Linked DNA regions of Elephas maximus indicus. The protein of the gene in region 3 interacts with the protein of the main gene of each other region in a pairwise test. Links are inferred from orthologs where the notes say so. Each region holds a gene or a part of one and is shown on either strand. Other genes may lie near its edges.

Region 1 (7,841 bases), on a different chromosome or scaffold from region 3:
TGTACCGTTGTAGGTAAAGGTAAAATATATAATTTACAGACAAGTTCAGAAAAATCAAGGTTGACAGCCTAGCATCATCTGTATAAAACAACAAACACAGAACAGACTACGTATTTTTTTCAGGGATGGACATTTATATAGCTAGACACGGAGCAGCGGACCTGGGGAGACCTGTGTCCATGTACGGGTGTCCATGGGCGGGGGGTAGAGTGGCATCAGAGATAAAGGACGAAGGGAAAAGCCAAGGGCCAGCAAAGCCAGGCCTTATGCCACAGGCCAAGGGCCACGGGAGGGCAGGAAACGCGAACTTCGAGTTTCTCCTCTTGGGCACCCCTGGTGCTCAGGGACTCACTGCGCGAAGCATTAGGCAGTCACAGCCGGCAGGGTTTAAAATCTGGCTGGACGACAAGGAAACTCGCAGGCCTGAGGTACAGAAATGAGAGCCACAAAACCAAAGGGAAACTTACCAAACCCCTCAGCGAAGGGAGAAAGTCGACACCCGCCCCACCCCCTCAGCAGACTTCCTGTAACATGTTCGTTGTTGTCAGTTGCGGTGGTGTCGATTCCGACTCAGAGCGACCCTACAGGACAGAGCAGAATTGCCCCATAGGGTTTCCAAGGAGTGGCTGGTAGATTTGAACTGCCGACCTTTTGGTTAGCATCCAAGCTCTTAATTACTGTGCCACCAGGGCCCCGGTAACATGTTTACTGTTGGAGATTCAGGGTTTACTCTGGGACCCAGAAATTTAATAACATGGTTTGTCTTTGTTCTGTCGAGGGCCCTTTGGTTTATATTACATCTTCACACGTACATCACTCAATCCACCAGAACTCTCTCTTGAAATATAGATAATTTGGTCTGCTCACCACCCCATCACCTCTGGCTTCCAGAGGAAGAGATAATCCTGAGGCTGGGAGAGGCTGATAACCTCTCACTACACTGGAACCCATGTTCCGGCCTGGGCTGCCCCAACACGGGGAAACAGGTGCAACTGAGAGGGAATGGCTCTGGAGATATCTAGCCAAACACAGCATTTAACCACCCTCTAGGCCCTGACATCAAATATCAGACCTCCCAGAATGCGAAGGTTGGAAAGTAGCCAAAGTGCATGGTCATGTAGTTTAACTCCCTGGGATGAAAAATCTAAGGCTGAGAATTGTCCAAGGTCACAGCAAGTGAGGTGCATCTGGCTTTGGAATTCAGAGCTTCTGGCTGACTAGGCTAAGTCTGGAGGGGAGCTATTCCCTGCCAGGTCCACCAGGCTGGCCCAAAGAGAGTAACGGTAGTGTCCCCTTTGGCAAAATCCTGGGGGCTGGAACCAGTTATCAGTGGCAATGGGTTCAGTCCAGCGCCTCCGGGCCGAATGCACCCAAAGCAATGCACATGGAGGCATTTTCCCTCTTTCATCATAATCTTTACATTCCCATAACAGAAAATAAAATTCCCTAATTTAAGTCTATAAATCTCTATCCCCTGCCACTTAAACCACTTGACACTGCTAATAAAGCTCTTATGAGGTGCTGACTTCAAGTGAGAAATTCCAATACTGGACTTTTGTTGAAGCAATGGCTGCGCTGCTCTACTAATTAAGTTTTGTGTACACAACTTGTACCAGAGTAGACAAAACCAAACAAAAAAGTAGACCACTTAGCTTTCTATTTAATTATCAAGAAATGATACAGTCACACACACTCTCTCAGGACCTTCCCCTCTCTTATCGCCCCCACAAGGGTGGGGAGCAGGAGGTATCTGAAGAGGGAACACAAACATGCTCTGAGCTTGGCAAACACTGGCCCTCTGAGCAGTCTGCTGGCCCCAACCCAGAAAATTAAACCCCCTCTTAAATAAACTAACAGAGAAGACGCCTCTCCAAGTAACTTCTACTGTGAATGAAAGCAGACTCAGCAGAAGTCCGTAGAGGACAAGTGTAACCTGAGCCTCCATGCCACTTAAGAAGAAAAAGTAGATACCATCCCACGAGACGGAGCGGAGCAAAAATACACTAGAGTCGGTATGCAATCCAAACACCCATCTCCCAGAGGACAGGCAGACTTAGCGCTGGGGTGGGCAGAGGGTCAGTGGGCAACAAGAGTGGCCGGCCCTGTAGGACAGCTCTGGGGAGGGAACATTACCTGGCCCTCACACCCACGGTGTATGTGTGCACTCAGCGGTGAGGTCTGAACTAGGCCGTTCAGTGAAGAGCAGGGGAGCTCCCCGGACCCACGCTGAGGAATGAAGACGAGATTCTGGGCTGGGGCTGTGTTAAGGTCAAAGCTCTGATCTCCATACCCGTGCGCGGATCTGGGTGTCTGTTGGAGGCTCGAGAACAGTATGAGGGTGTATGTGTGCAGATTCTGCTCCCCTAAGCTTGTATGGTAAGAAGCTGGGCGAAGTTCAGGTAGGTGAGCTGTGCTCAGGGAGCAACAGCCAGTCCCGGTGCCAGGTCCACACAACCGTGGCCTGGGGAGACTGCCAGGCTGTGCTGATGGGAGCTTCTGTCCTTGAGTTTACAAAGCATGTTGTGCCAGCTGTGCTGTGAGGTGCTCCGGCGTGGGCTGGGGCAGGTGGGCACTTCCGTGAACCGCAGGCTATGCCAACGGTGTCCTGAGCCCCAGGCCTCGGACTTGAGGGCGGGGACAGCAGGCGCTCTGGACCGGCCTCCGGTCCTCTGGGTCTGAGAAGAAGACAGCACCTCCCTCCCCCCAGGCTCCGCATCGTACCTGGTCGCCGGCACCCAGGCCGTAGTAGCCGTGCGTCACCACTTCCCAGTGCAGGAAGCAGACGAGCGCGTCCTGCGCGCAGGTGATGGCCGGCGCCGCCGACGCGAACAGCACCTCCAAGCCCGCCATGGTTGCCCGCAGCTTCTGCGGGCGGGAGAAAGAAGGGCGAGAGTGTGGTGAGCCGGAGCAGCACTCCGAAAACAGACGACTCCACACTTCTCTGCTCCGCTCGCTCTAGCTCAATCTCCACCTACGGCCAAAATGGAGCTGTCCGGGGAAGGGGCGGGGCCGTCGGAAGTACGTCGTCGCGCGGGCGCCCTTGCGCGGTCCCGGCTGGAAACTAGAGCGCCACGCTTTAAGGTTCCTCCGGCGACCTCCGGACTGGGCTGGCGGCTGGAGGCGCGGCCCTTCAAAACTGGAATCCCCATCTCGCCCGCAGCGGACTGGATCGTTACTCTCAGGGCGTTGGGTCCGTGTGATGAGAATCCTTTACAAAGAGCCACAGACTTTTCATCCGCAAAAGGGAGAAACTGACAAAAAAAACAAACCTGTTGCCGACGAGTTGACTGATAGCGACTCATAGGACAGAGTAGAATTACCTCGTAGGGTTTCTCCAAGGAGCGTTGCGGCCGGTGGGTTAACTGCCGACCTTTTGGTTAGCAGCCGAGCTGTTAATCAATGAGGTAAGGAAATATGCCTAAAATATAGTCATGATAATAGTTGACAGTTAAGAAGTGCTTGCTGCGTGCCGTATTCTAAATGCCTCACTTGTGTTCATTTATTTAATCTTTATGACCCAAGCCTACGATATTGGTGTTAGTGATACCCACGGAGCGGTGATTTGACTAGGGTGACACGGCCCTTCAGTGAGTGGGAGAGACAGCAGTCTGGCTCCTAGGATAGCGTTTAGTAAGCGTATGTTGTGTGCTAGATCCTGTGCCAAAAACCTTTACGTCATCCTCTCAACAACTCTATGAGATATGTTCCATTATTGTCCCCGTTTTGCAGATGACAAAACTACTCAAAGATTTGAAGCCCCTTCCCCCAAAGAGCACAACTGCTGACCTCTATCCTGATCCACTACCTGCTGCTACTACTACCTGTCCTATGACTACGCTGGAGTCATACCTACTCATGGCGACCCCATGTGTTACACTGTAGAACTGCTTCTTAGAGTTTTCTTGGCTGTAACCTTTACGGAAGCAGACCGCCAAACCTTTCTTTCCCAGCCGCGCTGAGTAGGTTCCAACAGCCAGCCTTTCAGTTAGCAGTCGAGCTAGCAGTTTATACCACCCAGGGACCTTTGATTCACTACCGGAGCTTCTCAAATTTCAATCATTTCTCTACCACCTTCATGATTTTCACCACCATTATTTACTCAATAATTTTCTTGAAATCCTCTTACAGTTTTTATTAAAATAAATTTAGATTTCCCTTCCAGTCAGCACCCTGGTCTAAGCCACCATCATCTCTCACTGGATGACTGCATCAGCCTCTGAAGTGCCCTCCTCCATCCCTGACCCCCTACAGTCTGTTATCTTCTCCACAGCCTGAAAGAGTCTGTTAGAACTCAAGATCATGTCCCCTCTCTGCTCAAAAGCCTCTCAAAGTTCCATAACATTCAAAGGAAAAGTAAAGACCTCCTCATGGTCTGCAGGGACCTACGTATGGTCTGCTCCCAGCCACTTCCCTCTTGGACCTCATCTCCTTCAACTATCTCCTCAACCCCTGCGCTCCTGGCTGCAATAGCCTTGCCTCCCTTCCCTTCTGTCACACCCACATCTGATCTAACAGCGAAGCAAGTCATCTCTACCCTCAAAATATATTCTGAGTCTGGCCACTTCCCACCAACTCCACTGCCTCCACCCTGGTCTGATTCTCCAGCATTTCACACCTGGACTGTTGCAGTAGCTTCCTACTGTGTATGTTCTTCCACATGTTTAGTTCTCTAGGCCTTTGCATGTACTGCTCTCTCTGTCTGCACTGCTTTTCCCCCAAACATCTGCATGATTTGCTTCTTCATTTAAATGACTCCTTCCCTCACCCACCAGCCTCAGACATCTTCTCTGACCACCTCATTGAAAATAACTTCCTCTACTCTTTAACCCCTTACCTTGTTTTCTTTTCTGCAAAGTATTAATCATAACCTGACACTATTAGGTATTCATTTATTTGCTTGCTTATTTAGTGACTGTCTTCCCACTAGACCATGACAAGGGAGCAGGAACCATGTTTGTCTTGTTCACAGCTGTACTTGAGGGTCTTCTGGGCTCAATACGGCTCAATACATGCTTATTAAATGAATGAGTGGATAATGAATGAATGAATTCATATCCTGAGCTCAACCAAATCAGGCCAGTCTCACCCTTTCACAGTCCACCAATCAGCTGGCCCTGTGCCTCTCCAAACTTTATGTTCCTGAGATTACCCTGGGATGCCCAGGTTCTCAAACCCCATCTGCAAAGATTCTGGCCAAGCAGCTCTGAGGTGGGGTGCAGGTATGTTGACCACACTCTGGGTGATGCTGAGGGTGGTGTCCCAGAACCTCTCCCTGATACGTACTATCTGTGGCATAAAGCTATCTGCTCTTTCCACCAAGAAGCCCTGCACTCTCAGGCTTCCCTGTTTTTGCGCACTCCCTTCTGCCTGCAGTGTCCTTCCCCAGAAACGGCAAATTCCCACAGATTCGTTCATTCATTAAGTCAACAAGCCTCCAGAGGCTGGGTTGCCATGGACAGTGGTGCAGGCTATATACTGCAAAAAATGTACACACCCAGTGGCAGCCCTGTTCCTGAGTGCCTACTGGGAGCCAGGTCAAGATGAACAAGACAGAGTCCCTGCTCCTATGGAGCTGACGATCTAGTGGTAAGAAATGACGAAGGTAGCTAGCGTGACAACTGCCTTGACAGATGGGCACACAGGGGTCTGTGCAAGCCCAGAGGAGAGATCTAACTTCTGGGGATGAGGAATGGGCTTCTTGGAGGAAGAGATGCCTGGCTTCCTTGAACCTTTGGCCTAACAACAACAAAAAGCAGACCTACGTTTGGTCAGTTTTATTACTGCTTTTACGTGTTTTACTGACAATGCTCCCCTTCATTGCCTGCTCTGGGAGTAAACTGAAGAACAAAAGGTGTTCTAGTAAGAGAGAATAGCATATGCAAAGGCCTAGAGTTGTGAAATGCAGCTAGAATGGTGAGATTAGAGGTCAGTGCTGCCTCCTAGTGAGGCCTTCCCTTACCTTCTCTGCCTACTACGAATTACTGGCTGAGTACACTTTGCCTCGGGGTGGGTGCTAAGGGGCGGGCAGAGGTCAGTGAGAGTTATCTGCCTCAGTGAGGAGGAGAATTTAATCACAAAAAATTGTTTAGAATTGCTGGCCCAGGGTGATAATAACAAGTAGACCGTTTGGTCAGCTTTATTACTGCTTTTAAGTTTTTTACAGACAAAGCTCCCTCTCATTGCCTGCAGTGGGCAGACAGCCCCCCAAACCCCATCCCTGGGACCACTGCTGCTTTGCATATAATTGGTTGGGGCAGGCACCTCACAGAACTTTGGTTCCCTATTATACATCATTATCCCTGTCTTAGTTTGGATTCCCTCAGAAGCCAATGCTGAGACAGGATTTGAGTGCAAGTGGCTTATTGGGAACAGATTTCTGGAAATAGCAATAGGGGAGTAGGGAAGTGAGATAAGGAAAGAAGGCAACCAATGAAAAAAAAATAGAGGGTATTAATCAAGCCACTTACCATTATGGGCAACTAAAGCTCAGTCCTGCTGGGGAACTCTGGGAGGCAGTATGGAACAGTCTCAGAAGTATCCGAACTGAGGGTGAGGAAACTGGGGTGTGTTTTCACTCCCTTCCTGTCTGCCCCCAGTTGAGGACTGCTTCTGGGAGCAGAGAAATCCCTCAGGTAGAGAGTTGGAGAGTTTACAGAAAGCGGCCATTGGTGCTTAGAGGTGAATACTGAAGGATGAGCGGGGCACACGGTGTCTGGTGTGCCCCCGCTAAGGATAAGCCATTCCTTAGCCTAGTCTGTGACCCAGCAGCCATTCTGGAGTAGCATTAGCACCTGTGTATTGAGAGAATGAGGTAAGCTCTGTCTCATGCGCTAGGCTGTGAGTCCTCTGAGGGTCAGGACTGTGTTCCCTCCACCCTGGATCCCAAGGTCCTCTAGGGATAGGAGCAAATGGGGGGCTCCCCTGGTGCTGGAGGTTGTCTGTGTTTTGCCCCTGGTCCACCCAGCACTTTCTGTGGACTTACCTCCCTCAGCAAGAGTCTCAGTTGGCCCTGTTGGGTTTGCAAGTGGTTGAGAAGGGAAGCAGGTGGAAGGTGCCTCCCCTGCTGGGCCCCTGCTACCTGGGCAGTGCAGAACCCATGCCCAAGATGAGGGCTCAGGATGATGGAAAGAGCTTGGCAGGTGGCTACAACCACCAGTTCCTGGTTGCTAAGTGACTGCAATGTGGATATTCCAAGCTCCCTGTCTCCCTGGAAACAGTAAAGAGGTGAGTTGAGGGGTAGGGCCCAGATGGGGACCAAGGTGGAGTCATTCGCCACTGGAATCCTTTTTTTCCTTTGGCCTAGCATCAGCCAGGCCACCTAGCCTCCCTCAGGAAGCCCTCCACAACTAAGAATATTCTTTGGTACCTCCAGTTGGCTAACGGATACCCAAGACTTCCCACTCCGCTTGTCAGATGGGTACTAGCGTATTTGATACCTGCAACAGAAAACTTTTTAACACCTTCCTCATCTGTAGGACAAAATTTTCAGTAACAATCACACTGTAATCAGTAAAAATTGTTATTTCCCTGATTCATTCTTTTTTCGTTTTTAAAATGAAGGTATAATTTACACATAGTATGGCTCCTCAGTTTCAGTGTGCAATTCTATTTGTTTTGACAAATGTGCACACAGTTATGTGATCACTGACTAAGAGCAAGTAAACTGAGGCATTTGACTAAAGTAAAATGGCTGCTTTAGAGTTTGGGGCCCTGGTCCATCTTGCTTTTCTTTTAATACATGTAAACTGTTCTGCGAGTGACCAGGCATGGACCAGTAATGTGAAACTTGCCTCCGAAAATGGAGGGCAGCAAGAGATGGAAGAAAGAAGTGGGAAACTCCA
Region 2 (7,997 bases), about 140 Mb from region 3:
CATTGGTTCTGAAAACGGGGTCTCCTAGTGGAAGAATGACACAAACCAGGCAGGAGGAATCCAAGTTGGCTCAGTGCATGCGGAGGGAGGCCGTGGATTTGTTATCAGCCCCCTACCTAGTTCTTTGTCAAATCAACACTTTTAGGCACCTTTTCGCACACACCAGGATCATTACTCTTGTTTGTACAATATTTCTCCACCACAACTCAACAGAAGAGCTTTATAAAAACAACAAAAAAAAGACAAACCTATTGCCGTCAAGTCGATTCCGACTCATAGTGACCCTATAGGACAGAGTAGAACTGCCCCATAGGATTTCCAATGCTGTAATCTTTACAGAAGCAGATTCCTACATCTTTCTCCTACAGAGTGGCTGGTGGGTTTAAACTGCCAACCTTTCAGAGAGCAGCCAAGTGCTTAACCACTGCACCAGGGCTCCTATGAAGTGTATTATACCCAAAAACCAAACCAAACCCATTGCCGTCGAGTCGATTCCGACTCATAGCGACCCTTTAGGACAGAGTAGAACTGCCCCATAGAGTTTCCAAGGAGCACCTGGTGGATTCGAACTGCCAACCCTTTGGTTAGCAGCCATAGCACTTAACCACTACGCCACCAGGGATTCCATGAAGTGCATTACAGGATAGAAAATACAAGTTAGGAATTCACTGAGTTCATTCTGTAGATTTACAAATGATGATATTTTAACAGAGTTCAAATAGAAAACAACACTATGAAAATACCCTCTGGCAGATGCCTCCTGAAGACTCTGGGATGGAAGGCATACAGTAGGAACTCGTTCTTCCCCTTCAGCATAGGTACACCAAAAGAATCTCAGCTCAAATACAGTTTAAGTGAGGGGACCCAGACTGTACACGAGGAGGCAGGAGGCAAATGACACACAGAGAGCTATGGCGCAGTGGTACGTACCATAGTTTTGGATCTAGCTCTGATCCTAACTAGCTGTGGGTCCTTGGGCAAGTCACTTAACCTCCGAGCCTCAGTTTTCTCAACTATAAAATAAGAAAAATATTTGGCTCAGGAGTATCTGAGAGGTAATGAGATACTGTAGACGGATCTACCTAGCAGCTAGTAGAAAAGGTACAGCAAGGTGAAGAGTCCGTGCATTGGGCCAGTGCTCAAGTGCTCAGCTGCTAACCAAAAGTTCAGCGGTTCGAACCCACCAGAGGCTCTGGGGAAAAAAAGACCTGGTGATCTGCTCCCGTAGGAAGCCCCATGGGGCAGTTCTCTGTAATACTTGGGGCCACTATGAGTCAGAATTGACTTGAAAGCACACAACAACAATAACACCACCGCTGCTTACTAGCCATATGACCAGCAGCAAGTCAGTCTCTCAGTTTTGGGGTCTGCAAAATGAGGATAATAAAACCTATTTCATAAGATTTGCAGAACAAGGAGTTAATAATACAGGTAAAGCACTCAGAACAGTGACCTGCACTTAGCAAACACTTAATAAATGTTGGCAACTATCATTACCTTTTATGTTAAAAAATATTTTGACAAGGTTAATTTTATAGAGTTTCCTTGGTTTTGAAAAGACCCTTTTTAACTCCAGCAAGTCTGGAAAATAAAATACAAATTGAACAGTTCAAAGTATGGGCTCTCAATCAGATTTGCCTGGGTGTTCCGGCTCTACCAATTATTAAATGTGATTTTGTGCAAGATATTTGACCTTGCTACCCTCAGTTTTGGAGGATTGGTAGCACAGTGCTTAAGAGCTGCAGCTGCTCACCAAAACACTGGCAGTTCTAATCCACCAGTGGCTCCTTGGAAAACCCATAGGGCAGTTCTACTCTTGTCTGTAGGGTCACGAGTTGGAATTTACTTGACAGCAATGGGTACAGGTACCCTCAGTTTCTTCATCAGTGCAAGCGAGATAAAACGCCTTCTTTAGAGGGCTGTGGTGAGGATGAGATAAATTATGTAGAAGCTAGGTCTGCTTCCAGCAGTAACAGAACTAAACTGTGAGCTATTACTATTCTCCACTTCAGTACCTCTACATTGTCGCGTTTTTGAGCTATTCTACTTTCTGTTTACAACTACACGTGTAAATGTGGTAGAAAACTGCATTCAAATGTAGAGTGCCCAGAAGCCAAATGATTAAAGGTAGGTGGGTTACAGGTGGAAACCCTGGTGGTGTAGTGGTTAAGTGTTACTGCTAAACAAAGGTCGGCAGTTCAAACCCACCAGGGGCTACTTGGAAACTTTATGGGGCAGTTCTACTCTGTCCTGTAGGCTCTCTATGAGTTGGAATCGACTCGACGGCAGTGGCTTTGGTTTGGGTTACAGGTTGTAGGAGAGTGGAAAAAGCATAACAGGTAGAGTCTGGGAGCCTGACTGCATGCCTAACAGATTTCCTTCACAGTTCAGCTGTGTGACCTTCCTGGGGAGTCGCACCGCCTCCGTAAGCCTCAGGTGCTGTAACCTTAAGAACGAAACAGTAACACTGGATTGTTGCGAGTATACCCGGGAGATAATGCACGTGACCGTTCTAGGCACTGAGTAAGCGTTCTTTAACCTTTAGCCTCCCTTCACTTCACACCACGATGTGACAAGTTTCACAATCCCTAAAGAATACGACCACGACCACGAGACGGGGAGAACAAAGAAGATTCAGAAGAGCTCCGATCCTGGGTCTAACGCCCCATCTCCTAGGCCAGGGAGGCTACTCCTTTCTCAACCACTCGCCCGACGTCCAGCCCAGCCGCGGGGAAGCAAAAGGCAAGGGCAATCGCTCGCGGCCCTGGCTCAGCCCAGCTGCCTAAGTGCATCCATCCTTCCAACCTCCACCCTCAAGGCGTCGCTAAAAAGCCTAAAGAAGGGTTCGCCAGGCGAAGGAGCGCTCGGGGTTTCCATGCCCATTGGCGCTAAGCCCTCACCCTCTCACCTCGATGCCCCGGGGTTTCTCCATGAGCCCTAACACCATTTCTTCAACCGTCACCAGGTGTAAGAAGCCATATTGGCCTCGCCGCTCGCCCCGAGCGCACTCATTGGCCGCCTCCCTGAGCAACGGGCCAATCACGCTGCAGGAAGGCGGAAAAGCCGGTTCCGCGCTCGCTCGGCGCCTCCACCCACTGCGGGCGGGGAAGCCGCGGGCGGTTGTGGGACTTATAGTTCCCCAGAGGGTTACGCCTGTAAAGGCGTTGCCATAGTGACGTGAACGTCGCCCGGCCCCGGCTTTGAGGTCACTGGCGCTGACTGTTTAAACTCCACGCCAGTCTCTTTCCCCAAGCCTGGCCCTATTCTTCATTAAACAGTTCTTAAGCACCTACACAGGCACTGTGTCAGGCGCGGAGGATAACCCCGTGGGACTTCGCAGTCTATCCAGAGAGAAATGTGAGGTGCTCTTGGGCTGAATGCCTGGCAGCCCTCCTCATTTCCCATTCAGGCAGAAGCTGGAATAATTTCATGCCCAATGCATAAATGCTCCGCGTGTTCAAATTTCTCCAACATTCGTCTTCCACCAACATTTCCTGAATAAAGCCCGAGGCTCGCAGCCTCATCCCTTTTGGATTTCCCACAAACCCCCTACACAAGGGGAGTTCTAGGCGCTGTTGTGGCGCTTTAAGAGCATCATCTCGATCCCATAGGCATCCAATCACCGTTTCAAAGATGAGGCATCGAAGGCTCTCCAGGTTTAGATACTTTCCACGGTTAGGCAGAATTAAAGATTTACTATGAAGTGTTTCCCTATCTCGTGCTGTAAGGAGCCCTGATGGCAAAGGGGTTAAGAGTCGGCTGCTAACCGGAAAGGTGGTCAGTTGGAGGTTCGAACCCACCAGCCACTTTGCTGGGAGAAAGATGTGGAAGGTCGCTTCTTGAAAGATTACTGCCCTGGAAACCTGATTGGACGGTTCTACTCTGCCCTATGCGGTCGCTAGGACTCGGAATCGACTCAACCGCAACAGGTTTGGGTTTGGGATGCTACGTTGTGTCCTGATTGAGACTCTAAATGTAGTAAGTGGAGGCTGGATATATGTAAAACAACAATTTATTCTACACACTGTGTAAAAGGTAAAGTGGTCTTTTTTTTTAAAATAAAGTTTTGTTTTTCATTAAAAAAATTAAATGTTCTAGGGTAAAAAATCACAAAGTTTAGTAAAACAAAAAGGTTTTATTCGGCACATATTCAAAGAGGTAAAAGTGGGAAATGGACAAGCGTGGTTCCAGCGCCAATGACTGCCCGTCTAAGGAATATTACAGAATAAGCAAAAGTGGGGAAACAGACAAACATGCTTCCAGAGCGTGTCTGAGTCCAAGGAGTGTTATAATCAGTATATATTAACATTACAAATGGGCCAAACCACTGAAAGCTTCATCTTTTCACAGATTCGCTAAAAACTGCCAAATTGCCATGATTCTATGTTTTGAATAGTCTTTCTTAATAATCGTTGGTACAGGTTTCAGTAACGACAGGAGGGCCCTCACTGATCCAACAAATCTTATTATTTGCTAAATGCTAATAGAAAAAAGATAAGAGTGGAAGGTATGTGGGTCTTTTGCGCACTGTTTGTTTATTTGAAAAGTTCCCTAAAAGATGTTTCCTAAGATTGTCCTAGCTAATATCTTTATACCACAGGGCCCAGTTGATGTGTCCTTGTGAGTCCAGCTCCAGCTGGGTCACATTTTAGGACAGGGAACAATGGCTCCAATATTATCTCCTAAATCATTTCCTTTGATCAGAGATTGGCGATAATACATTGATGATCAATACCTGGACTCAATATTCTTAGATGGAGGCTCTTTAAATTAATGGTGCTGGATTTCCACTGAATACCGTCACCAGGATCTGAAGAGCAATGTTCTCATCAATCTCATTGCCAAAATGAGCAGATTCAATGTACACCAACATTTTAGCCCGAGGCCTTCTTTTGCCTTTTAGGTGTGTAAGACAATAGAAGGTAAATTTTATTATGCCTAATACTATCAAGACACAGAGTAAGAATATTATTATTCTTGCAATAGTGATCTAACCCATGTACTTATTCCTGATGGTAACTAACTGAGGTGGGAAACCGCAGGATGGCAAGTGAGGCGGGCAGCTCCGCCCAGTTGGCATTGTCCCTCACTGATGGCCCCAGTGCATCAACTATCTGATGACCTCAGCATCATTACAGGGACTGTCCACTAATCCTGATGGGCCATGCAGGGACTGTCCACTAATCCTGATGGGCCATGCCCCTAGACACACCCTGAACACACCTGAAGAAGAGCCCACCCCTACCCTGTCTCCTTTCCGTATATAGACCCCTGCGCTTGCCAACTGAGGAGCCATCTTGGCAATGCAGGTCCCAGTGTGCTCCTTTGCTAGGCCAGCCAAATCAAGTTTTCTTCTTTTGCTTTCATCTGACTTGTGTCTCTGAGTCTCACCCAGCGAGACCTGGAGGTCCAGTAACACAACCAAATAAATGTGGTGTTTATAAGGGCATTACAACGTGTAACAAAGTAGCATGTTGTCCAGTCTACATATATCCTGTTCTACTTCTGTGTTATTTATTCAAATGGAACAAGAGGTATTTGCTACAGCACAGGCTACACTTTCTTGGGCTAATAAAAAATCTAAGAGCTAATCTGTTACCTCATGTCACCGTGACTTAATGAGGTCAGAGACTGCCATTGTGCTTCCATTCCACTTGGCAACTTCATCTGCTGTTGGTCCCATGATAACTGATAAACTTCTTAAAGTTTCCTCCAATTCAACTATAGTGTAAGTAGGAACTAAAGCTATCAACCCTACCCTGAGTGTTGGACAAGTGGGTTTTCTCCTGACTCTCGTTTTACAATGTGTAACGATTTAACATCACTTTTCCAATATTTACTAGCATCATTACTATGAATATCTAAAGGTAATCCTAAAATTCCCAAAGTGCATTGCCCACGCATTCGCCAGGAATCTAAACAAGACATTGACCATATAAATTCACCGTCAGTTGGAAAGGATCATCGAAACTAGCGTAGTTGGATCCACCACACAAAAACATATATCCATAAGGAGCACACAAAATTTGTCTAGAGAAAACAGAAGATACAGAAAAATTTACATGTGACAACCAAGTTTCCGTTAGAGAATACATGATTATCAAGACAATAGAGGGTGGACCTCTCCTGCTGGAGGTCTCCAGTTAATCTATTTAAAACATTCTAAGCAGTTTTTCCTGAGAGCAAGCTGCCCCTCCTATTAACAAGCATGGGTTACTTTCTCAGAAGCAGAAGACAAAATGGAGTCTGGGCCATGAGGTCCATCTTCTCTGAGAACTTGGTTTATTTAAGATACATAAATTTCTGCATAGTAAGGGGGTGACAGTTTGATTACAAACATTAGGTGTTTCATACAGCATTGTCTTGAAGACTAATTAGACTAATTACTGATTTACCATCAAAGTCCCAGGTTCAAAAGGACACCCAAAGGCAGTAGCCTGTGTGGGTTATCTCAACCTACATGAAAGCCAGAAATCTGGATTCCAGGAGAATTACAACTCTTTTGCCAGATATCAAGGATGGCTTTCATATCTATATTCCCCAGATTTAGGAATATATTTTTGTGGATATCCAGTTTTGTATATTCACAAAAATATCTTGTGGATATATTTTTGTGACGTCTTTTCCTGGTTTAGGTATCAGGGTTATGCTAGCTTCACAGAGTTCAGTAGTGTTCCTTCTTCTTCTATGTTTTTGAAGAGATTGAGTAGGATTCGTGCCATTTCTTCTCTGAATGTTTGGTAGAATTCTCCAGTGTAGCCATCTGGTCCTGGGATTTTTTTTTTTTTTTGGCAGTTTTTTGATAGCATCTTCAATCTCTTCTTTTGTAATGGGTCTGTCTAAATTTTCTACCTCTGTGTTAGTTTCAGTAGGTGGCGTGTTTCTAGGAATTTGTCCACTTCATGTGGGTTTTCAAATTTGTTGGAGTATAATTTTTCATAGAAATCTGTAATGATCTTCTTTATCTCTGTTGGTCGGTTGTAATGTCACCAGTTTCATTTCTTAATTTGGTTATTTGCCTCCTTTGATTTTTTACTTTTTTTAATCCAGCCAGTGGTTTGTCTGTTTTTTTGATACTTTTAAAGAACCAACTTCTAGTTTTGTTGATTCTATTGTTTTTCTTTATTTCTGCCCTGATCTTTATTATTTCCTTTTCGGTTTCTTTTACTCTTCCTTTTCTATTTGTTTAAGTTGTCATTTTAAGTTAATTATTTTGGATCTTTCTTCTTTTTTAATGTAGGCATTTATTGCTATGAATTTCCCTGTGAGTACTCCCTTTGCTGTGTCCCAAAGGTTTGATATGTTATGCTTTCATTTTTGTTTGATTCTAGGAAATCCTTGATTTTTTTTTCCCCTTCAATCCCTTCTCCCCACCTGTAAACCCAACATGCTGTCAACAAGTAATGTTGGTCGTTCTACCTCCAAAACAGATCCTATATCCCTTCACTCCTACCACCTGAATCTAATACCTGACCACTACAACAGCCCTCCAACTGCTCTCCCTGTTTTGAATCTTGCCCTTCAATTCACACAGCAACCAGGTGATCTTTTAAAACCATAAATCAGATTATGTCAGTCTCTTGCTTAAAACCCTCTAATGGCTGCCTCTTGCATTTTGAATAAAATCCAAACTTTCCACAAGACCCTAAAAGACTTGGTCTTAGCTTTCTATCCGACATCTTCTTATACTACGCTCTCTACCCTTCACTATGTCCAGCCACTCTCCCCTTCTTCCCGTTTCTTGAGAACCGTGCTTGAGACTGCCTCAGGGCCTTTGTACTTGCTATTCCATCTGTGTGGAATACTGTTTCCACAGCTCTTTTCAGGGCTGGCTCATTTTAAGATCTCAGCTGAAAGTCACCTCCTCAGGGGCCTGCTTATCTGAAGTGGTGGCTCCCTTGCCTCACTCTGTATCCCATTTCCCATCTCAGCTTCATAGCACTTGTTCTTGTCTGAAGTTACGTTGTTCCTTTGTTTACTTGTTTATTGCTTAGCTC
Region 3 (7,716 bases):
ATTTTGCCCACAGATACCAATTATTAACCTTCTTTCATTTCAGATGACAAGTATGTTTATAAGGAAAAGAAAAGCCTCACCCAATTACAAGCCAGGGGAGGTTTCCAAATTTATCTCCACAACCCATTTTCTTGGGCCTATCAATAGTATGCTTTAGAGGTACCTGGCACTCTTTCAATTTACTCAGTTAAAAAAAAAAAAAGAAAAAAAAACCCATCATTAAGCAATTTAAAGGTGAGCACACCTGAAAGATACTGATTTGTTATTTCAAATATAGAAAAATTTGGGTAAGAAAGCAAGATTCTCATCTTTCACACAAGTGAAGCTTTTGCATTCAGCTACTGCACTTTAATATGCAATCGTTTATTTTCTAAAAAATGCACCTGCAGAGCAGAGAGAATCAGACCCGTAATTTAAAAAAAGAAAAAACTTGCTATGTCAGTCAAACTTTAAAACACAATACAAGCTTCTCTCTCTCTCTCTCTCTGTGCTGTGCTTTGGCAATCTCCTATTTCTAAAAATCACCTAGGCATGAAAATATACATTCTTTCATAACAGCTCTTCCCTTTTGGCCTTAGACCTCACAGGTCAACGTCTATAAAACTACTCTCACTCTTAAGATAAAGTAGTAGGTTCCCTAAAGTCATAAATATAAAAACAGCCTACATTCCTGAATGAATCAGATAGCACCAACAGGCTAGTCACAAAAGAGACTTTTAAAGTACAAGTAATTGAGTAATCAGCAGTGTTGGAAAAAATTTTATATAGAAGGTGGAAGGAGCCAAATATTTTGAATATATAAAACTATTTTAGGCCTCTTTCATTAAGGTGTCCAAACTAAATTTGGGGGAAAGAGATATGATTAGATCTTCAAAATGTCTATAATCAAACCATTTTCAGACTAAACGAATGTAGCCTTTACTGAATCCACATCAGTTAGTTTAGCTTACTTTGAAAAACGCTATTACTTGCAATAGCCCTCTAATTTTCATCAGTTTATATGTGACTTCTCCAGGTGGTTAAAACCATCGTTTTTGCTCTCTACTCTGATGTCAGTGCTGGATAAAACACCAGAGAAAAAGGGGATGGGTCTGTGGTTTTGTTTGGACCTCAAGTTGATTTACACAGTGGTTCTAAAGTCAATATTTTTTTCTAAACTCAGTATTAGAACTTGTGACATTACAATGAAAAAAGTCACCTACCTCTAATTTCAGGAGACACAATGCATTTTGAAAGACATATTCGTACGTCTGTTTTTATCTTTAGTACTCATCATTTTTTTTAAAGTCAAATCAGGAAAATAAAGATTCTAACAAGTAACTGAACAGACAGATATGACTCTATACAACTTTACTCTCCACTAATAAAATAACCCAAGCCCAAAGAGTGTGTTATACACCTGTTAAATGATCAGAAACTAGAAGACTTTTTTTGTTTCTGTGAGACACTTATCTGACTAGTAAGTGATCTATTCTAAGATATCTTTCCAACCCAAATCACATATCTAGAAAAGATGCTGGATGTCAACAATTCTTATCTGGGCTTCTACACCTAATGAGCTTTTTTCCTTCTTCTTAAAAGAACCACCACCACCTTTTTTCTTTCTCTTTGGGGGGGAATAAAATTCATTCGTCCGGATTCTTAGGAGCACGGCCTGATGCAAAGGCAACTCTCCCCCACCCCCTCAACCTAGCCACAGGAGTGGAACACCAAAGAAGGCTCTTTGCTCCCCAAGTGTCATTGTTTGCTAATTTCCTGATATGCCCTGCGACTTGTTTACGTTAAATAATATCCAGCCTCCCCCCGCACAACTTTCCTCGCGGCCCGAATTGTGCGGCCGCAGCCCCCTCCGCCGCAGCCCCTCCTCCGACACTCCGCTTGGGAGGGGAGTTTGGGGGTCCAGGAAGACGAGCCCCCGGAGTTGAAGCCGCCACCGAGGGCGAGGGGCCGCGGGGCCCGGTGCGGAGATGTTTACGCCGCGCGAAGTCCTTTCTCCCGCCGCCGGCGCCGACCCGCAGGACCCCCGGCCCCCGCCCCGAGCCCGCCGCTCACCTCGGTTCACCAGTTTGAAGCTTTGGGATTTCCTGCTTCTTTTCCTTTCGGAGAACTCCATGGTGCTGGGAAGGAGGAAGGAGGCAGGGAATGCGGCCGGGGAGAGGGAGCGGGAGGGAGGCGGGAGGGCGAGAGGGGAGGCGGCGGCTGAGGCGACGGCGGCGGCAGCACTGGCTCTTGTCACCCAGCAGCGGGAGCGGCCAGGACCAAGGTCCGTCTCTTCAATCAGCAGAGGGGGGAGAAAGGAAAGGAAAAAACCACCTCGAACGAACTCGGGTGCTTCAGCTTTCGGGTCTCGGTAGGAGGCGGTTTCCCAGGGAGAAGTTGCCCCCTCCTCTTCACCGCCTCCCCGTGTCCTAAACACACACCCCCTTACCCTTTCTAATTTCTTTTTTCTTTTTAAAAACGTATCCGAAGCTGAACTTTCCGTTGGGGACCGAGTTGGGGACAGGGTGTGAAGCGAGGAGGAGCGCCTTGCCGGCCGGGATCTGGTCCTGCCGGCGCCCCTGGGGCGCTCGCCGCGGGCCGGCCTGGGCAGAACCTTCCGGACGTGGCGGCGGCGGCGGCCGAGGCGAGCGCGGCCCCGGGGACGCGGCGGGCGGGCCGAGGGAGGGCGGCCGCGGCGGGGAGCGGAGCCGGGTCCGGGCGCTAACCGCCCCCACGGGAGGTGGGGCTGGGAGGGGGGGAGGAGGCGGCGCCGCCGGGACCCCGGGGCCACCTGCTGGCGGATCCCGCCCTCGCCGCGGCGCCCGGGCCGCCGCCATCCCCGGGGGCCGCGGGCCGCCGCCACCCACCGGCCTGGCCGCGCGGCGCCCTTAAGAGAAGCTAGAGGCCGCGGCGCAGCGCCCTCGGCCCGGGCCCAGCCGGGCTTCCCCGTGGGGACCGGCCCTGTCCGGCGGGAGGGGGGCTTCTTACGCAGGCGACTCTGGGGTCTGAGGAGTTGGGGCCCTGCCCTGAGCTGGCCGCGCCGAGCGCCAAGTCGGGGAGCTGCTTCTTCAGGGGCCTCAGATCTCAGACCCCAGCTTGGCTGTCTTTCTCCGCCGCTCTCTAAGGCCGATATTCTTTTTATAAACAGTCCTAGGTTTCTTGGCCCCTCACTGGCCAACCTATTCTCAGCCCTGAGATGGAATGCCGAAGGGCCGGACACACAGATTTTAGGCAAGTTTTAAGAAAAAAACTTACCAATCTGCACCCTACAAAAAAAAAAAAAAAAAACTAGAAGAGGTTTTAGAATTTATTAGTGGGAAGAGTATAGAAAAAGAGTAAACTCCAATTCTTTATCCAATACAGGAAGGGTTGTTGGAATATCCGGAGTTATATTCAAGGAGAGAACTTGGAATGTGGGGCTTGGAGAGGGTGAAGGGGGTGAAGGGTGCTACGTCAGTGGGTGCATGATCACTCTGCCTACTCTAGGGAAGAAATGGTAAAGGCAAGGACAGGAGACTGCCACTTGATGTAATAATGTCCAAATAATTGATGTAAAAAGAAACTTGTTATTAACTTTATATAATATTCTTCTCTAGGGAGATAAGAGCACACTACAGACACCATTTCTTTCTGTCAACATCTTTAGAGAGGGAATTAAATTGAATTTTATACCACCTGAGAAGGGCAATACAGGAAGGTGATCTGACATACTTTAAAAGGACCCCCTTTAAGTAATTGTTTCTAGACCTAAATAGAAAGTAAATATAGGTAGACTACCCCTGAAGCACTGTGGCAAATTCAGGTAGTGCCAAAAAGGTAGAGCAGAGTAAGGGAAAAGGGTATGTTCATAAATGTGGTAGCAAGTTCCACCACCAGTCTTACTTAAATAAGGAGACAGCCACTCAGGGTCTATTCTTAACTTATCAGGGACATACAGAGTAGAACTGAGGAGGAAGGAGGAAGTTGGAGGCAACTGACATAAACACACACACTTACATGCACACACACCCAAGAAACAGAATAATCAACCAAGTAGTGGAAGCAGACTAAAAGTGGAAGCAGAGCTGGGCACAAATCTTGAGGTCTTGGGTGGTACACAGCAAATCAGAAAGCTGGTTACATCTGACCTGGAAGTGAGGGAGAGGTATTCATTCAGTTTGCTAAAGCAACCCCCTAAAGAAGAGGTTCTTAACCTTTGTGGTCATTTTCTCCTCTGTCCAAAGCTCCAGGCCCTTTTCCCAGAAAATGTATATAAGACAAATGCAATTTTGCATAGATTTTTGGGAGTTTTTAGACCCCTAGAGTCCTAAAAGATACTAAAAGGGATGAAAGTGAGAACAGGGATTAAATAACTACCCTAATTGATTCTCTTCCATTTTTTTCTTTCTTTAAAACTAAGCAGTAAAAATCAGATGTTTTGACTGTTTCTTTGAGGAAAAGGCATACTGTTTTGTTCCTCAGGCTGTGACCCTTTCTTTTTTTTTTTTTTTTTTGGAATGCTTTTTGAGATATGCCAAAAGCCACAAGGCTAAGAACTACTGCTTGAGGAACATTTAGGATCTTCCCTGCCTTTTAGCATAAAATGAGATTTTATTACACTTAAAATCATTGAAGGCATCATATCAAGAAGCAAATACCTAGGGAAGATATTAACAACTTAGCATTTTCAGTTCAAATGGGAATTTGAATTCCATTTACTGAAGAGAATATTTTTTATACATATTGTTAAGAATAAATATTTTAAAGTAATAGTCATTTTCCCTTGATCCTTTCTACTAGCTCTCCAATGATGGTCTATGAATTGTTTTGCAGAGACCATAGACCAGGTCTGATCTATCAATATGTAGAGAAAATCAACAAATAATTATTCTCCACTTTAAGCAGATCTGGAGCCCTGGTGTTGCAGTGGTTAAGAGCTTGGCTGCTAAACAAAAGGTCAGCAGTTCAAATCCACCAGGCGCTCCTTGGAAACGCTATGGGGCAGTTCTACTCTGTCGAATTCCGTCAGAATTGACTTGACAGCAACGGGTTGGTTGTGCAAATCACCGTTCCTTTATATAATGACAACGTATATATTCATGTAACGAGCATGTAGTAAAGATTAATTATGATATTTATTAAAAATGAGATTGCTTTAAGTGGTAGTATCGGTTTTTGGTTAATTGAATACAGTCTTTGTGTTAGAGTGGCCTGGAAAGTCCTCTAGGAGATCTACTAAGGTCATTTCCCTGCTTCGATAGTTCAAAGCCTGCAAAAGTTTTAGAAGTACAGGTTTACATGTTACTAAAATTCAGTAAAAACTAGTTAAATAAATACTCCATGACTTCATATAGGTGGAACATCTACTACGTGACCATTCTAAAATGCAGTTGATTAAAGATTAAACACAGGTTTTAATCTTTGACAAAGACAGGTAATTTGCCCAGAAAACATCAAGTAATCTTAACCCTTATTTTTAAAACTCTCTTTCTGGAAACTCTATCCTCAGAGAAATGGCATTATGAAAGTTTTCATCTTTAATTAGAGCTCTGCTACCCAATAGAAATGTAATGCAAGCCATATTTGTAATTTAGAGTTTTCTCTTAGCCGCATTTAAAAAGTAAAACCCAACATGTAATCAATACAAAAATATTAATGAGATATTTTACATTCTTGTTGTTGTTGTTGTACAAAGTTTCAAAATCTAGTGTGTATTTAAGACAAATCAATTCTGACTAGCCACATTTCAGGTGCTCAGTAGCCACATATGGCTACCCCACTGGGTAGCTCAGATTTAGCAGAAGGTTTGAGCCATGTTATTTTTTTTTTTATATATAGGTATGGCTACAACCTGCTTATTGTTTAATTGCCTCTTTAATAAACTCCAAAAAGAAGGAGATGAGCAGGAAGGTATTATTGGGCTTAAGGCTTTTTATTAACCTCCGAATGGTTTATAAACCATTTGGAAGTGAAAATCCTGTCACTAAATTGGTACTACTTTATGAAGATTTGGAGACTCCTTCAAGAAGATTAATAAGTATAAATATTAACTTCATTTTATGACAATTGCCTATCTGATGTATATTGGCTTTACCAACCATGATGTCCTTTTCTAGTGACTGGTCTTTTCTGATGACATGTCCAAAGCCACGGTACCACCAGAACTCCTAAAGCTTTAGTTAAAAAAAGCTTTAGTAGATACTGTCAAATAGTTTTTCTAAGTGGTTCTACCTATTTACACACCCATCAGCAGTGTATGAAAGTTCTAGTTTTTCTAAATCTTTACCAACTCTGGGTATTATCAGTCTTCTTCATTTTAGCCATTGCAGGGGGCTATCAGGTGTAGTGGTATCTCTTTGTGTTTTTAATTTGCATTCTCCAACTGACAGAAAGAATATGCAGCCCTACATTACGAGTTATGTTCCCTCAAAATGTGTGTTGTAAATCCTAACCTCTGCCTGTGGTTATAATCCCATTTGTGAATGGGCTGTGTTTGCTATGTAAATGAGGCAGAAATAATGTAGGGTGTATTTTGAGTCAATCTCTTGAGTTATAAAGGAGCTTAAGCAAGAAAGCAGAGAAGGGGGAAGACAGATGCCAAGCCACATGTAGACTGCCCAGGAGCAGAAGCTCAGAAGAGACAAGGACCTTCCTCCAAAGCCGACAGAGACAGAAGTCTTCCTTTAGAGCCAGCGCACTGAATTTGGACTTCAGCCTCCTAAACTGTGAAAAAATAGATGTTTGTTAAAGCCACCCATTTGTGGTATTTCTGTTACAGCAGCACTAGATAACTAAGAACATAGTGCTGGAAGAGTAGGGTGGTGCTCTAACAAATACCTACAATGTGGAAGTTGATTTGGAATTGGGTAATGGAAGGAGGCTGGAAGAGTTTGACTTCATCGTTTTTTACTTTCGCTTTAGCTACTTGATGTTCAAGAACAAGCTTCAGAGTCTTTTCTGACATCCATTTTGGTCTTTTCTTCTTTTTAATGATCTCTTGATTTCTTAACGTATGATGTCCTTGGTGTCATTTCACAACTCGTCTGATCTTTGGTCATTAGTGTTCAACTTGTCAAATCTATTCTTGAGATGGTCTCTAACTAAATTCAGGTGGGATATACTCAAGGTCATACTTTGGCTCTCGTGGACTTATTCTAATTTCCTTCAGCTTCAGCTTGGATTTGCATATGAGCAATTGATGGTCTGTTCCAAAGTCACCCCTGGCCTTGTTCTGCCAGATAATATTCAGTTTTTCCATTGTCTCTTTCCACAAATATAGTCAATTTGATTTCCTCTATATTCCTACCCGCGAAGTCCACGTGTAGAGTCACCATTTGTGTTGTTGAAAAAAGGTATTTGCAATGAAGTCATTGGTCTTGCAAAAGTCTATCATGCGATCTCTGGCACTGTTTCTATCACCAAGGCCATATTTTCCAACTACCGATCCTTCTTTGTTTCCAACTTTTGCATTCCAATCACCATGCATCCTGATTGCATGACCAATTTCAGACTGCAGAAGTTGGTAAAAATCTTCAACTTCTCCATCTCCACCCCTATTTCTCAATTTGTTGTTGGCCTGACTCAACTTTCCACTTTCATTTATTTCATTGTTTTTAGTGATTGTAACATAAAAGAAGGGAGAACGTATTTATAACAGAGATTACATAAGTGAGAATGAATTTTGGAATGCTACACAAATACTATTACCTTATATTTATATGGGACTTCTCTTATAGGAACACAAGAATATTTATACAT
Region 4 (7,091 bases), on a different chromosome or scaffold from region 3:
TGCTTTATGAAGTTAATCATATCATCTCAAATGAACCTTAAGCAAACTCATCAGGGAAGCAATGCAGGTACCATCATTACATTTTACTGAAAAGAAAGAAAAGCTCAAAGATAATAAATGATTTGACAAAGAAAAAAAACTAGTAATGACATGCCTTTAAACTTTCTAGGCTAAGTTGCTTTTCACAACATTATACTTCTTGTCAAAAGTAAAGTAAAACAAAATAAACAGTATGGTTGCTAGAGAATTCTTGAAAAGCAGACTACTACGAACGCCCAAAGAAAAAGAATACATTTCAATTCTAGGTCCTCCTGCATAATTTTGTAAAACCTGCACTAAATCTTTCTCAGCCAACGCTTTCAACTCTAAGCTCATATAACTAGGGGCGGTTAACAAAATTGCAGAGGTTGCTTGAGTAACAATTATACTCTCACTCACAAAGTATCAGGTGACATGATAGTAATAACATTTATGATCAAACCAAGAGTCATACAGTTCACTGAAGAAAACCAAACAAGGATCCTTGGCCCTAGGTGACCTCCCCAGCGCTCTCCCTAGGTGGCCTCACTACTCTCAAGATCTCTAACATCTATCTGTTGTTATTGTTAGGTGCCATACAGTTGATTTGAACTTGTAACGGCCCCATGTGACAGGGCAGAACTGCCCCATACAGTTTCTTAGGCTGTAACCTTTACAGGAATAAATTGCCAGGTCTTTCTCCCACAGAGGCGCTACCTATTTCCCAAACCATTATGTCCAGTCCCAACTTTTCTCCTTTCCTCTACATCTGAATTTCCAATTGTTTGGACATCGTATAAGCACCCCACAATTAACTAACCAAACTAATTACCTTTCCCATGAGATCTGTCCCTTCTTTTGTTCTCTATCCCAATTAATGGTATCATCATCATCTACCCATTCACATAAGTTGGTTATATCTGATTCTATTCTTATCACGATCATCCAGTCAGTCACCAAGCTCTTCGGATCCTATATCCTAATTCCTCTTCTTCATCCCTACTGTCACTGTTTTCATTCAAACCCACTTTCACCTGGAACACTGCAGTTGCCTCCCAATTGATCTGTCCCCTACCCAGCTGATAAATCATCTTTCTAAAATACAAATATGATCATGTGCTACCCCTGCTTAAAAACATTTGATGGCATTTTTATTGCCTACGGGAAAAAGTCTAATCTCCCAATCCTCACACAGAAGTCTCCCAACAACCTGACTCTAATTTACTACTCAGATCTCATCTTCTGCCGCTGCCCCCCACATTCCCTATTTTCCAGATGCACACAATTTTCTGCCATGCCCCCGGTGCTTTATGTTCTTTCTTTTGGCCATGTTAGTACATGATGTCCCCTCTTTCAAGGATGACTTTTTACACATGGTAGGCTTGTACCGATTCATTCAGACCCTGTTGAAACAACAGCAGCTCAAATGCCACCCCTCTGGAAAATCTTTTCTAATTCCCTAAGGCAGATTTCATTATTCATTATTCCCTCCTCAGTGCTCTAATGCATTTTGTATTATGTCTCTATTATGGTACTTCTCAAACTATTGTAACTACCTATTTTATTCACCTTTGTATGTCCCACCTCTGCCAAAATACTCTTTGACACATTGTATGCCCTTAATAAGTGTTGAAGAATGACTGGGTTGTACCTCCCACCTTATTGTGAGCATCTGTGTGCCGGATGACATTCCTCAGGAGGACCTTCCCCAGTGGAACCCGGGACATTCTTCAATCTGAAATGAATCAATAAGTAACATTTAATAATAATAATGTTTTTCTTTATTACCTTATTTTTTATTAAAATTTTATAAAGAAGCACGAGGTAAAGGAAAGATCACTGATGTAGGAGAAGTCCTGAGGAATAGTTTTTCCTTCACCATTAAAAGAGGAAAATGCCTGACCACATTAATGTGAGGATGAAAGGAGATTATGTTAAAATTCTTTGAGACTGCACAAAATTAAGTGATTTAATGAGCACCATTTCATTTCATCTTCACAATTCTGTCTTATATGAGGCAAGCATCTTCATCCCTATTTCGCAGATGGTGTTCCCTTAAAGCCAAACTTGCCCCAGGCCACACAGTCACATGCAAACAAGGTAAGTCAATGTCCAGACAGAAAACAACTCTCGAATCAGAAGATGTTTGCAATGAAGCAAATACCCAGATTTGAAAGAGTGTCAGTGACCACAAATGTCAACTGTAACAAAAACTAACGCCTAAAAACATGAGGTGCAGAGAGAACCTAAATTTCTCTACTGAGGAGAATTTTACTTCCTGTTTTGTAATGAAGTCTCCAAAAACTAGTTGACAAGGGTATTCCCGCATGTAGCTACCAGGAGCTTTGTACAAGCACCCCGCCGCTCACTCACCCCTCGATCCTGAGGAAATCAGGCGTCTTGTTAGTGTGAGACGAAGAACCACTCCATTACAAGACCTCCTCCGACCCAGGAAGCCAAGGAGTCAGGGCTAAAACACAGCTCTGCAGCTTCACCCGAGTCCTTCGTGCAAACGCAGCCTTCCCACCGGTTACTCCGCCCTCGCCCGCGACCCGGGCCACGGCCGCCTCCCCCAGCCCGGACCGAGGCCGGAGGCTGCGCCGGCGCGGAGTTCCGACGGCCCTGTCGGCTGGGTCATTCCCCGCCCAGGCTCGGCTGAGACGGGCCTGAGGGTGGCTTTCGCTCCGCAGAACGGATGGGGGCGCTCTGGACGGGCACGGCCTTCAGGCTGGGCCCCAGACAGTGTCTAGGGTGTCTGAAGGGAGGTCTGAGGTCTCCCGGCGGAAGACAGAAAACATCCCCATCTTTGTCACCGGATCCCTGCCCCTCTGCGCCTCGGGGCTCCCGTTACCCTTCCCTCCAGACGCCCTCCCGACACAGACACACACACACACCCATACCGTGCGCCGCAGCCTCGCGTGGCGGGCGTCGGGGGAGGAAGCGACCCAAGAGGAAAAGGCGTAGGTTTCCCTTTCAGGCCGGAAGTCGTGCTCCTGAGTAATTCTTCCCGATAACGGGAGACCCAGACTATCCCCCCGGGAGGATTTCCAAGGCGTTCCGGAGATCGACAGGTGCAGAAGGGAGGCGGGCGCTTGCTTGGAAGAGAAGTGGGTCAGGCCCAGCTGAAAAGCAAGCCCAGCCCCGGAACTGGAGGTAAAGAGAACTTCTGCCTGGAGCTTCCCGGACCCAATTAAGCGTTGCACCCAGCCGTTACCCTGGTAACTGGCGTGGCGGTTTGTCAAGGAACAGAGAGAAGAGGTGGGTTCGTTGATCTCTGGAGCAATCGTCCGTTAGTTGAATTTCCTTTTTAGTCTTAGCCTACTACAGTATTTTAAGAATCTAAATCTCCAGTTTTCCTCATTTGATGGATAGTATGGAACACCTCTTCAATGAGAGATTGTTACTCTCGTGTAGCGTTTACCAGGTGTTCCAAATTCATCGTTTATATTGATTTACTTAATCCTCACAATAACCCTGTGAGATAGATGTTGTAGTCTTCGTTTTCAGGAGAATAACCTAAAGGCACGTATATTAATTGCTCAAGGACTCATAGCTAATAAGTGATAAAACTAATAAGATTTCGAAAAAACCAAACCAAACCCAGTGCCGTCGAGTCGATTCCGACTCATAGCGACCCTATAGAACAGAGTAGAACTGCCCCATAGAGTTTCCAAGAAGCGCCTGGTGGATTCGAACTGCTGACCGTTTGGTTAGCAGCTGTAGCACTTAACCACTACACCACCAGGGTTTCCAAAACTAAGAAGCTAGGTATTCTGACTCCAAAGTCCATGCTTTTCACTATTAAGCAATAATAAAGATTGAGGGAATCTCATATAAACCTCACACCACACACACCTTCAGCAATTTCAGAACTGGGGAGGCCTCGATCAGCCAGTACCCAGGGACTGGAACAAGGAGACCACCAGGAAACCAGGCTGAAAATGACTACTCTGCCCTGTGTGTACTCCAGGATCTAGGGAGAGGTACGGTCTTGTTTGAGAGGACAACTTGAAAATTTAGGAAGGGGTGCTAGATAATTAGAGAATACAGAAAAGATGCAATGGTGCCGATCCACAGTCTTTGAGACACAGATGTTCAGACTTCACCAAAACAATTCCTTACCAGTTCCTCCTCCCCCAAAAGAAGAAATGAATCAATAGCCCCAGACTTTTTCCCTCTTAAGTCTTGTCTTTTCATAGGTTTAAGAGGCCCATTCACCATTATCAATCATGGAGGCAGCCTCAAAGGATCTTCTCATCCAAGTTACTCAGTTCTGGAACCTCTTAGATGATCTGGCTGAAAGTGACCCTGAACTCTATGAGAATTTTATTCAACAGCAGCTGAAAGAGGGGAAACAGCTGTGTGCCACCCCAGAACCACAGTTCTGTCTACAGACCAGGATCCTGGTATGTAGAGTTGGTGCCAGGGATGGGGAGGTCCTGAATGAAATACTCCTAGAATAACCAGAGAATAGCTTACTCTTAGCTATTGCTACTTTAACACAAGAAAACTTGAGGAAAACTGTCATCCTAAATAGATAATGAAAAGTGTAGAAGATTAGGTTGAAGGAGTAAATGTGGGAAATTCATATTTAATATATTTTAGCGATCTCAAAATGAACCATTTTTTTCTGCTAGAATAAAAAGAAAGCAATGTAATGATTTAGTAAAGACTCATATAGTTGAAGCTTTTTCAAATAAAGATAACTTATGTGGCTTAAGAGAGCAAATCAAACCCGTTACCGTCAAGTCGATTCAGGCTTATAGTGACCCTATAGGACAGAGAAGGGCTGCCCCATAGAGTTTCCAAGGAGCAGCTGGCAGACTAGAACTACCGACCTTTTGGTTAGCAGCCAAGCTCTTAAACATCGCACCACCAGGGCTCCTTAGGAGGGTGAACCAAAAAACCAAACCAGTTGCCATCAAGTTAATTGCTACTCATAGCAATCCTATAGGAAAGTGTAGAACTTCCCCATAGTGTTTCCAAGGAGCACCTGGTGGATTTGAACTGTTAAATTTTTGGTTAGCAACCATAACACTTAATCACTACGCCACCGGGTGGTGAAATAGTTGTTTAAGCAAATTTACCCAGAACAGCTGCTTAGCCCAATTCCTCCCCTTCCTCCCCCTCCACCCAGTTCCTTCTAAGTACAGCAACTGAATTGTTCCTGAAAAGACAGCAGCTTTGGAGAAATCTAGTAGGAGACTTTATTAAAAAAACAGTTTAAAGTAATGATAGTAAAAATTTTAAACAGTTTTGATACATGGAATGACTTACTTGGAGTCTAAAATTCTCCCCTTCCAATGCTGTGATCAGTTGCCTTTAGGTTATTTAAAAATAAACTAGTTTTTGATATGTGCAAAATTATTTGTTTTCTAGAAACCAAGAGAAAAAACACTTTTCATCAACCTTTATCAGTGGAAAAAGATCCCAGCTCCCCAATCAATCACTCATCCAGTACCTATAAGTGTTGGCAGGCCAGAAGATATTTCTGAGACATCAGGTATATAGAATTATGGGAGAGAAAGCATATTTAAAAAATTTTTTACTGGTAATAAACATGGATCAGATTTTGCTGGGTAAAAGATATTTCAAGTAAAATTTTATTTGGTGACGAGATAGTTAATGACAAGTTAGTGTACCTTTATGCAAATTAATACTTTTTAATTTTTCTAACAATATGAGCTATGGTTAACCATATAAAAATACCAAGAAATGGATAAGTTGGAATTTTGTGTATATAGCACCATTATGACTGCTTCTGAAAAAATGCAGGGATGACATTTATACTTTGTCTTTATCAGGGTTATGGTTTACTACATATTACCTGACAGTAACATTAGTGAAACAAAGTGGTCTTCATTTCATACCCTCTGAATTACACATGCAGGTGTTTACACAGTCATCGATGTTGCCTACAATCCTGATGTTCTCCAGGTGGCAGAAAAAGACCAAGTGAAAAAGGACCAGTTGATCCGGATGGCTATGAAATGCATTGAGGAGCAACTCCAGTCCACTCTCTCACAATCCTACCGAATTACAAAACTTAAAACAAAAGGAAGCATTCACAGGATGAAACAAAGTCTGATGGGAATCCAAAATGACTCCCCTGATTTAAGAGAGAAATTGAGAAAGGGTAGGTCGATGAATGGAAAAGAAAAATTAAACTTATTTAAGATTTTTGCATCCTGTGTCCATTTTGCAAACTAGAAATCTCGATTTTAAAAAATTAGAAACTTAAGACAGGAAAATATGAAGATTAGATACTGAAAATATTAGAATATCCTAAAAATTTTTCAGAATCCTGCAGACTTATAAACCAAATTATTTGGTTTTAGATTCTTTTGGCTTAAGGTTCCCAAATTATTATGGAGTACTGAGTCTCGGTTTATGGTGTTGAAAAAATCTCATTGATTAAGGGTAGGGCTGCACAGCTGATTAATGTAATTGCTGCCAATAAGTTGTACACCTGTAAAAAGTTGGCTTAGCAAAAGTTGTGTGATATATTTACAACGACAAAAAAAAAAGTAGCTGCTGAGGCTGCTTATGTACAACTAAACACCTCATGGGATTTGGTTCCTTGGTTTGGAGGTTTAGGGTCATCGTTTCGTGGGACATCCCAGTCAATTGGCCTAATAATGTGTTTAGTGGTTCTGTTCTACCTCCTAGTTCCTAGTCCCTAGTTCCTAGTGCTTGGGGTCTTAAAAGTTTGCAAGCTGCTATCCAAGGCCTAACAATTTGTCTCTGTTCACCTGGGGCAACAGAGAAAGAAGGAGAGTCAGGAATCGGTTGGGAAAATGGATGTGTGGCTAATTGCCTCAATGAAAAGCTGCCTCCTTTGCCCTGAGAGGAAATCCTGGTGGTATAGCGGTTAAGAGCTACAGCTACTAACCAAAAGGCTGGCAGTTTGAATCCATCAGGTACTCCTGGGAAACTCTATGAGGCAGTTTCCTGTAGGGTCGCTGTGAGTCAGAATCGACTTGATGGCAACAGGTTTTGGTTGCCTTGAGACCAGAACTGGATGGTGCCCAGCTGCCATTACTGAACATTTTGATCAAAAATTCTATGGAAGA

What was found.
Region 1: the proteins of BEND7 (region 3) and PSMF1 interact in a two-hybrid assay, tested with the Homo sapiens proteins (2 studies listed by BioGRID and IntAct). The two-hybrid records come from large-scale screens. The link is inferred for Elephas maximus indicus from reciprocal best matches to the Homo sapiens genes BEND7 and PSMF1.
Region 2: the proteins of BEND7 (region 3) and L3MBTL2 interact in binary tests that used the Homo sapiens proteins (3 or more experiments, as listed by UniProt). The two-hybrid records come from large-scale screens. The link is inferred for Elephas maximus indicus from reciprocal best matches to the Homo sapiens genes BEND7 and L3MBTL2.
Region 4: the proteins of BEND7 (region 3) and NKAPD1 interact in binary tests that used the Homo sapiens proteins (3 or more experiments, as listed by UniProt). The two-hybrid records come from large-scale screens. The link is inferred for Elephas maximus indicus from reciprocal best matches to the Homo sapiens genes BEND7 and NKAPD1.

What each region holds. Positions count from the first base shown.
Region 1 is NC_064843.1:39,187,776-39,195,616, reverse strand, and holds the start of PSMF1 (proteasome inhibitor PI31 subunit), read right to left. Parts: upstream 3,001-7,841; 5' UTR 2,851-3,000; coding exon 2,722-2,850; intron 1-2,721. UniProt on the Homo sapiens protein: Plays an important role in control of proteasome function. Inhibits the hydrolysis of protein and peptide substrates by the 20S proteasome. Also inhibits the activation of the proteasome by the proteasome regulatory proteins PA700 and PA28.
Region 2 is NC_064822.1:185,383,726-185,391,722, reverse strand, and holds the start of L3MBTL2 (lethal(3)malignant brain tumor-like protein 2), read right to left. Parts: upstream 3,013-7,997; 5' UTR 2,948-3,012; coding exon 2,909-2,947; intron 25-2,908; coding exon 1-24. UniProt on the Homo sapiens protein: Putative Polycomb group (PcG) protein. PcG proteins maintain the transcriptionally repressive state of genes, probably via a modification of chromatin, rendering it heritably changed in its expressibility.
Region 3 is NC_064822.1:43,689,712-43,697,427, reverse strand, and holds the start of BEND7 (BEN domain-containing protein 7), read right to left. Parts: upstream 3,014-7,716; 5' UTR 2,968-3,013; intron 2,655-2,967; exon of another isoform or gene 2,429-2,654; intron 2,272-2,428; 5' UTR 2,114-2,271; coding exon 2,053-2,113; intron 1-2,052.
Region 4 is NC_064825.1:6,799,698-6,806,788, forward strand, and holds the start of NKAPD1 (uncharacterized protein NKAPD1), read right to left. Parts: upstream 3,007-7,091; 5' UTR 2,919-3,006; intron 2,798-2,918; exon of another isoform or gene 2,392-2,797; intron 1,754-2,391; 5' UTR 1,746-1,753; coding exon 1,677-1,745; intron 1-1,676. Other genes in the region: PIH1D2 (PIH1 domain-containing protein 2), read left to right, coding at 4,248-4,424, 5,398-5,521, 5,909-6,154.